Linked DNA regions of Kluyveromyces lactis. Each later gene encodes a partner of the first gene's protein in a complex. Links are inferred from orthologs where the notes say so. Each region holds a gene or a part of one and is shown in the gene's direction. Other genes may lie near its edges.

What was found. Proteins that work in one complex are often made in the same cells at the same time.
Region 2: the proteins of TIM22 (region 1) and TIM9 are in contact, whole or in part, in a cryo-EM structure (PDB 6LO8), measured with the Saccharomyces cerevisiae proteins. The link is inferred for Kluyveromyces lactis from reciprocal best matches to the Saccharomyces cerevisiae genes TIM22 and TIM9. Residues at the interface, in NP_010064.1 of Saccharomyces cerevisiae: Glu196, Asp197, Arg199, Pro200, Pro201, Gln202, Asn203, Asp204, Phe205; in NP_010894.1 of Saccharomyces cerevisiae: Thr37, Asp38, Cys39, Asn41, Asp42, Phe43, Thr44, Lys51, Glu52, Cys55, Lys58.
Region 3: the proteins of TIM22 (region 1) and TIM18 are in contact, whole or in part, in a cryo-EM structure (PDB 6LO8), measured with the Saccharomyces cerevisiae proteins. The link is inferred for Kluyveromyces lactis from reciprocal best matches to the Saccharomyces cerevisiae genes TIM22 and TIM18. Residues at the interface, in NP_010064.1 of Saccharomyces cerevisiae: Ser145, Leu146, Arg147, Tyr168, Lys169, Ala170, Gly171, Pro172, Ala175; in NP_014940.4 of Saccharomyces cerevisiae: Ser76, Tyr77, Asp80, Tyr81, Ile84, Leu109, Tyr124, Tyr162, Glu165, Thr166.

The regions. Positions count from the first base shown.
Region 1 is NC_006040.1:726,661-729,331, forward strand, and holds TIM22 (translocation channel protein TIM22), read left to right. Parts: upstream 1-1,558; coding exon 1,559-2,149; downstream 2,150-2,671. Other genes in the region: COP9 signalosome catalytic subunit RRI1, read left to right, coding at 1-66; SWT21 (Swt21p), read right to left, coding at 50-1,285; KAR1 (Kar1p), read right to left, coding at 2,276-2,671. UniProt on the Saccharomyces cerevisiae protein: Essential core component of the TIM22 complex, a complex that mediates the import and insertion of multi-pass transmembrane proteins, such as mitochondrial carrier family members, into the mitochondrial inner membrane.
Region 2 is NC_006041.1:2,034,872-2,036,976, forward strand, and holds TIM9 (protein transporter TIM9), read left to right. Parts: upstream 1-1,245; coding exon 1,246-1,509; downstream 1,510-2,105. Other genes in the region: URA3 (orotidine-5'-phosphate decarboxylase), read left to right, coding at 124-927. UniProt on the Saccharomyces cerevisiae protein: Mitochondrial intermembrane chaperone that participates in the import and insertion of multi-pass transmembrane proteins into the mitochondrial inner membrane.
Region 3 is NC_006042.1:2,330,711-2,333,441, forward strand, and holds TIM18 (Tim18p), read left to right. Parts: upstream 1-1,553; coding exon 1,554-2,135; downstream 2,136-2,731. Other genes in the region: MUM3 (Mum3p), read right to left, coding at 79-1,095. UniProt on the Saccharomyces cerevisiae protein: Component of the TIM22 complex, a complex that mediates the import and insertion of multi-pass transmembrane proteins into the mitochondrial inner membrane.

The DNA.
Region 1 (2,671 bases):
TTATTGAAGGTTAAGCAATATCAAAAGTTAAGGACCTACAGACAACTATTTAATGCATCCGAATAAGCTTCACAGATGTTTTTAATGTCATACCCTCATCATCTGCAAATTTATCAGTCGAGGTTGAAATAGCGAGGGTGTTTGGATCAACAGGATTCGTTGCAATGCAATTCACCCTTACATTCTCATCTGAAATAAGAATGTTATTCGTTGGCTTTATTCCAGTACCAGCGGTTTGAAGTGGGTCCAACCCACCAAATTCAATGCAATCTTTGTCCCAGCATGCAACCTGACCATCGTACGATCCAATTAACAAACCTTTGGCACTGTTCAAGGATGCCTTGAATTTCTGCTTACCAATTTTGAATGGAAGTTCCAGTATATTAATTCTAGATTTTAACATTCGTGTATCAATAACATCGATTTCTCTTGCATTACGTTTAATACAGTACAAATAATGTCCGTTATCCGACTTAATGACTTGGTAGATTCCATTTGACCACGAGTCCAATGAATCACGCTCACTTATTAGTTCAGATTTAGTACTTCTAGTATCAATTCGTAGCACTTCTGTTTTATAAGTACCAGCAAACCTGACATTGTCATGTACCTCGTTATATTCATCAAAGCATGATACGATAGCCTTCTGTGATGACTTCCCGCATGATTGTTTTGTCCACTGATGTTGCCATATCGGTTTATGTCGGTTGTAATCATACATAGTTATCCTGTTTCTAACAGATCCAGTCATGAAATGCATAGTGTCTTGAAGTATTGTCATTGAATAAGCCGTTTCAAAGGCTTCATTTTCTTCGTTAACAGTAGAGTAATGGTATAAACTTGTTTCATTGATGCTGTCCGATCGTAATGAGTACAATTTTATGGGCAGATCTCTTGAAGAACAAAGTATAGTTTGATATGCTGAATCCTCTTCATACAGTGAGTATCTAGGGTGGACGACAGAGGAAATAATGGAACCATTCACAAACCATCGTGTGAAAGGAACCCAATGATCTACAAGTGGATCTTCTGGTATAAGATACTGTCGTATTCCAAAATCATCAAAAACGCCGCAAATAGAAGTACCATCATGAGACCAAGTCAGCTGAGAACAAATCACAGGACAATACCGCTCAACGCTATGGAAATACGAACGATGCAGCTTTGGAAATTCGTAATTCTTTGCATATGCTGAAAATTTTCGAGATAATTCTTCTTCGAGAGACCATAATGAATTACAATTTGTCCCATAGTAGCAGTCTAATGTGCTGGCTATCGTTTGCATTATCAAAAGGTCTCATATTCCGCATACAGTTGCTTAAAATGCTGCCTTCTGTGCATGCGATGAGGCATTCTGTCAATATTGACATATTGACAGAGTTGAAGCTTATTCTTATCGAAAGAAAAAAAGCTTTGGAATAGCTAATATCAAAAGCTCATCGAAAATAATATTGAAATAAATATATACATCGTTGAACAGAGTAGTAAAAGGACACCGTGAAGTATTGGATAGTTGTGGAAGATTAGCTACTGTTGAAGTAAGAAACGTTAAAATAAAATGGTGTATCGTGGGTTTGGTTTAGACCAAGTTTCTCCACCAGAGAATAAACCATTTGATCAACTTTCGCCTGAAGAACAAGGTGAAAAAGGTGCCCAAATGATGGTGGAGTTTATGACTTCTTGTCCTGGAAAAGCTGCCATCAGTGGTGTTACTGGTTTTGCATTAGGTGGTGTTTTCGGTTTATTTATGGCATCGATGGCGTATGACACACCTCTACATACGCCAGCTCCAACCAATGCTCCAGGTTTACCAAATAAAGTGAAAGAGCTTGCAGATCTACCGTTGAAACAGCAGATAAAGATCCAGTTTAGTGATATGGGAAAAAGATCCTACTCCAGTGCAAAGAATTTCGGTTACATCGGTATGATTTATTCAGGTGTCGAATGTGTGGTGGAATCGTTAAGGGCAAAGAACGATATATATAACGGTGTAGCTGCAGGTTGTTTGACAGGCGGTGGCTTGGCATACAAGAGTGGACCTCAGGCAGCATTAGTGGGTTGTGCGGGTTTTGCTGCCTTCTCTACGGCCATTGATTTATACATGAGAAACGAGAATAAGAAACCACCCAAGGATGACTTCGATGAATGATCAGTTTATATTTTTGAAACTCTAAGCATTAAGCGTCCGTTCTTTGTACATTAGATAGACTCCAGGTCATGATATCTATGAACTTTACATGTAAATACGTGCATTTATATATCAATTCAGTCTTTATCATAGGTAATGATACACCCATACATTGCAAAGTACGAGAATAATGATACAACTTAACCATATCACTGGTTCATAGGTCATTGATTTGCCAATTAAAGTTTCTTTGTCCTGCAAAATATCGATCAACCGATCTAGCTTGGCACTAGTGTCCTTCAATTGGGATTCCAATGTAGTTATTTCACTAGATTGAAACACTTTGCGGGAAATTTTTCTTTGACTTTCAAAAGACGGTGCTTCTAATACCCTCTTGGCCTTATTCACAGGCTCTGCTTTAGTCTGTCGTACCTTTGCGTTCGATATTATAGTATTCCATCTGGATTCGAGGTCACGACCAACTTCCATTTTTTGCTGAGGGTCAAGATAAGGTAAGGGCAATGGATCACCAAGCTTCTCTTT
Region 2 (2,105 bases), on another chromosome or scaffold:
TTAAGCTCATCTCAATTGATGTTATCTAAAGTCATTTCAACTATCTAAGATGTGGTTGTGATTGGGCCATTTTGTGAAAGCCAGTACGCCAGCGTCAATACACTCCCGTCAATTAGTTGCACCATGTCCACAAAATCATATACCAGTAGAGCTGAGACTCATGCAAGTCCGGTTGCATCGAAACTTTTACGTTTAATGGATGAAAAGAAGACCAATTTGTGTGCTTCTCTTGACGTTCGTTCGACTGATGAGCTATTGAAACTTGTTGAAACGTTGGGTCCATACATTTGCCTTTTGAAAACACACGTTGATATCTTGGATGATTTCAGTTATGAGGGTACTGTCGTTCCATTGAAAGCATTGGCAGAGAAATACAAGTTCTTGATATTTGAGGACAGAAAATTCGCCGATATCGGTAACACAGTCAAATTACAATATACATCGGGCGTTTACCGTATCGCAGAATGGTCTGATATCACCAACGCCCACGGGGTTACTGGTGCTGGTATTGTTGCTGGCTTGAAACAAGGTGCGCAAGAGGTCACCAAAGAACCAAGGGGATTATTGATGCTTGCTGAATTGTCTTCCAAGGGTTCTCTAGCACACGGTGAATATACTAAGGGTACCGTTGATATTGCAAAGAGTGATAAAGATTTCGTTATTGGGTTCATTGCTCAGAACGATATGGGAGGAAGAGAAGAAGGGTTTGATTGGCTAATCATGACCCCAGGTGTAGGTTTAGACGACAAAGGCGATGCATTGGGTCAGCAGTACAGAACCGTCGACGAAGTTGTAAGTGGTGGATCAGATATCATCATTGTTGGCAGAGGACTTTTCGCCAAGGGTAGAGATCCTAAGGTTGAAGGTGAAAGATACAGAAATGCTGGATGGGAAGCGTACCAAAAGAGAATCAGCGCTCCCCATTAATTATACAGGAAACTTAATAGAACAAATCACATATTTAATCTAATAGCCACCTGCATTGGCACGGTGCAACACTACTTCAACTTCATCTTACAAAAAGATCACGTGATCTGTTGTATTGAACTGAAAATTTTTTGTTTGCTTCTCTCTCTCTCTTTCATTATGTGAGATTTAAAAACCAGAAACTACATCATCGAAAAAGAGTTTTAAACCATTACAACCATTGCGATAAGCCCTCTCAAACTTCCTCCAGACTGTTTGTCATCCAATTGGTAAGATTAATTATCATATACCCCGGATAAGAAAAGAAGCAAGCACACAATGGATCAACTTAATGGTAAGGAACAACAAGAGTTCCAAAAAATCGTGGAACAAAAGCAAATGAAGGATTTCATGCGTCTATACTCCAACTTGGTCGAAAGATGTTTCAGCGACTGTGTCAACGACTTCACATCCGCTAAGCTTACTTCTAAGGAACAAAACTGTATAATGAGATGTTCAGAAAAGTTCTTGAAACACAGTGAACGTGTGGGTCAACGTTTCCAAGAGCAAAATGCTGCCATGAATCAAACCATGGGTCGTTAAAAGGTTTAAAGAAGAAATTCTCCCTACCAACCTCAAATTTTATTCTGTACATACTTCATTATATTATAACATTATATTATAACATTATATCATAACATTTTATCGTAGCTACTACGATTACCATAGATTTTAAGGACTATCTCTCCCATGTATATTCATTCTGTTTCTGTATATAGAAAGGTTTGCATTTCATTGCCATATGACTGGCCAAAAAAAGATGCTCCTCAGACACAAGGTAATCGGTATTGTGTTATCTGCGTAAGTTGCAGACTCCCTGCATTGCACTCAACTAGGCATTGTCGTAAATGACAAGCTAAACTGTCCGTCCGTTGTCCCTCCCATGTCACGTGGTCTCCATTAGAGAAGAACTGGCGACTTGATTTATTATAACAACGACAATAGGGCTCAAGCTGAAGTTCCATTAGAAACAACCTTCTCACGAAGCGAAAATCCCGTTAGGGATTTGCTTGATTATAACTCACCGGGGGTTTGAACCCTCGGCGAGCGGACAGCTGCGTTCCACCGAATTTCCCACCTGGAATGAGGAGAACAACTCCTCTGATCAAGTAGAACATTCAAATCACATGACCTCTTCT
Region 3 (2,731 bases), on another chromosome or scaffold:
AAAACCTGAAACAGAACTCATTATATTTCTCGCAATACCATCAACCCGGAATGTACACATACAATATTGTATCATTTTTTAGACTATCTCCACGTTCAATTCAAAGGTATCTATCAATTTATCCTTAGCACACCACTGGGTTTCTAGCCAACTTTCTAGTTGTTTGGGTTTCTTTTTAGTGAGTTTATCAACATCATGGTACGATGCGTGGATGCATAGTATCATTGGTGATTCCAACGACCATATGTCCCATAGAGCTGGAATTGTTTGCTCCAACTTATACTCACCCATTGAGTTCAACGTGATCTTGTAATAAACCAAAGTTAAATCTAGTAACTTCATTGAGTCACGTAATATCGGTTCTGTCGGAAGAATAAGGTACTCCAACATGCGACACCATTTTCTGTCATTGCTGTTTGAAAAAGCTTTGATCAGATTTACGAAAGTACCAAATCTGGGGTATAGAACGTTATGCAAAACAGGTAATCCTTTGTATTTCAATTTCATTAACTTTCTTTCAATCAATTTAACTTCTGGTGTGAAGATATTCACCTCGGGAAATATTACCAAATTCTCAGGCCCATAAAACTTCTTAATCTTTGATACCGAAACGTTGTCATTCTCATCATGCCTGAATATTGTCCAAAAATGCTTAAAACTGGGATACTTCATTAAACGAGTCCAACCTGCGAAAATTACATTTTCAGCTCCGAACTGGGATTGAATCAAAGTATAATCGATAATTGATCTATGGTTGCTTAGTATTAGTTGGTTCTTACATTTTGTGTTGATTGTTTCCCCCTCGTAAATAATTTGGATATCTTCTCTTAGCACACTCCATATAATGAATTCATTAATCCATATATTAACCATGGTTTGAATCTTCTCAGTTTTCATAATACCCCTGTAATAATACTTTGATGAAATGATTCTGGACCATTGATTCATATACCATATCCACCCTGCTAGCACTGACTGAAGTATGAAAAGTATAAACAAAAACCATGAATAGGCCACACATTTTATAAGATGCTTGTCTTGTATCGAAAACCATGGTCCCGTGACATTTGTTTGCAACGTACTCAGTACAGACATGGTTTACTAGTTCTTCATCCTAACAGAAAACGATTGTAATGGATCGTTTTCTAGCTAGTTAGGAACAGTTTCTGTGTTTATTCCACACTGACACAGACTTTTTAACCATTTTGTTTTGTCGCATGACAAACAGTTTCAAGTGAAAAATAGGAAAACGTAAACAGTACGACCATCGTTTAGTTTACATTAGAAAAACTTGTCACCGATACATTGTAATTAGAATGTAAATTTTACGATTGAATTAATTCATAGAGCCTCTAACAGAAACCACTACCGCTATAACTGCCTTTCTGGTTATTCTGCATCTTCTGTATTCTTTTCAGATCTCATCAATTTTGCTCCAATCTCATTATCGATGATGAAGTGAAAAATGAAATATTTTTTGACTAAGCTCATCTCATCACTTCGCATACATCGAAAAGTACCTGAAAAGTAAGGATGGCAGCCAAGACGACATAATGATTGCCAGATCAATGATAAACAAGCCACTTCCAGTCATGTTAAGAACTTCTTTGCTTCATCGTCAGTTGAGAGGTATCAGGCTACCAGCTGTTTTTAGTTCCAGTAAGTTTGCGAAGTACAAGTTAATCCCACCACCTCCAGGCGGAGTTACCGGAAACGTAAACGATAACTTACCAAAGACAGAACCGAATTGGTTCCATGGGTCGTATCACTGGGATTATGAACGTATCACTGCAGTGTCGTTAGTTCCTTTGACAATGGTTCCTTTGTATGGAGCTATGTCTTCTGCTACCTTTGCATCAGGTTTCCCCTTCCCAGTGATTGATTCTCTATTGGCCAGTACAATACTAATACATGCGTACTTAGGTATAACAAGTTGCATTATTGACTATATCCCTAAGAGAAAATTCGGATTCTGGCACAAGGCTGCTAAATTCGCTTTGGCACTTGGAAGCTCCTTCAGTCTTTACGGAATTTATGTTTTAGAAACGGAAAATAACGGACTAATAGATTTGGTCTCTACTCTTTGGGATAAAGATAAGGGGGATTCGAGAGCATATGTATTTGGAAGGTTTTAGTGTGGTACTCTGTCCAAGCAATATGTAATTCATCGGAGAATTGACCTCCAAGCAGATTAGACTCTCATTTATTTATTATCATTATTATTTATTAGTGCTACATCTAGTGTTATTTATTCTTACCATAGTCTTAATTTAGTCTTTGAGTCTGATGATTCAGCTGGTCCTTTTCCTCGCCAAAAGTTCAAACGGGGTAAAGCAATCTAACTTTGAATAGACCATTTTGGGTATTTTGCTGTTCGTTTTTTTGCCCATGATTACATGCGTTTAAAGTTGTTGATCCAATCTCATTGTAACTGCCTTTTTTGGCAATCACATAGATTACAGCCGGTTTGACACAATTTAATGAAATAAAATCCTGAATGCAAAAGACTTTGCATTCGTCTCTGCTGAAGAAAAACCGCCTCAAGTTGAGGAGATTACTAAATGTGCTTTGGGTTTGAAACTTATTGAGGTTTTTTTTTTTTCATTCCTTCATGAAACTTATTCATGTCAAGAGAACATACTTCAAAAGTGACTATATAAAGGCACCTCTCTGTGATACAAGGTGAGATTGAGAGACTCAATGTTGATTTGACATCCTTCAAATTTTTACG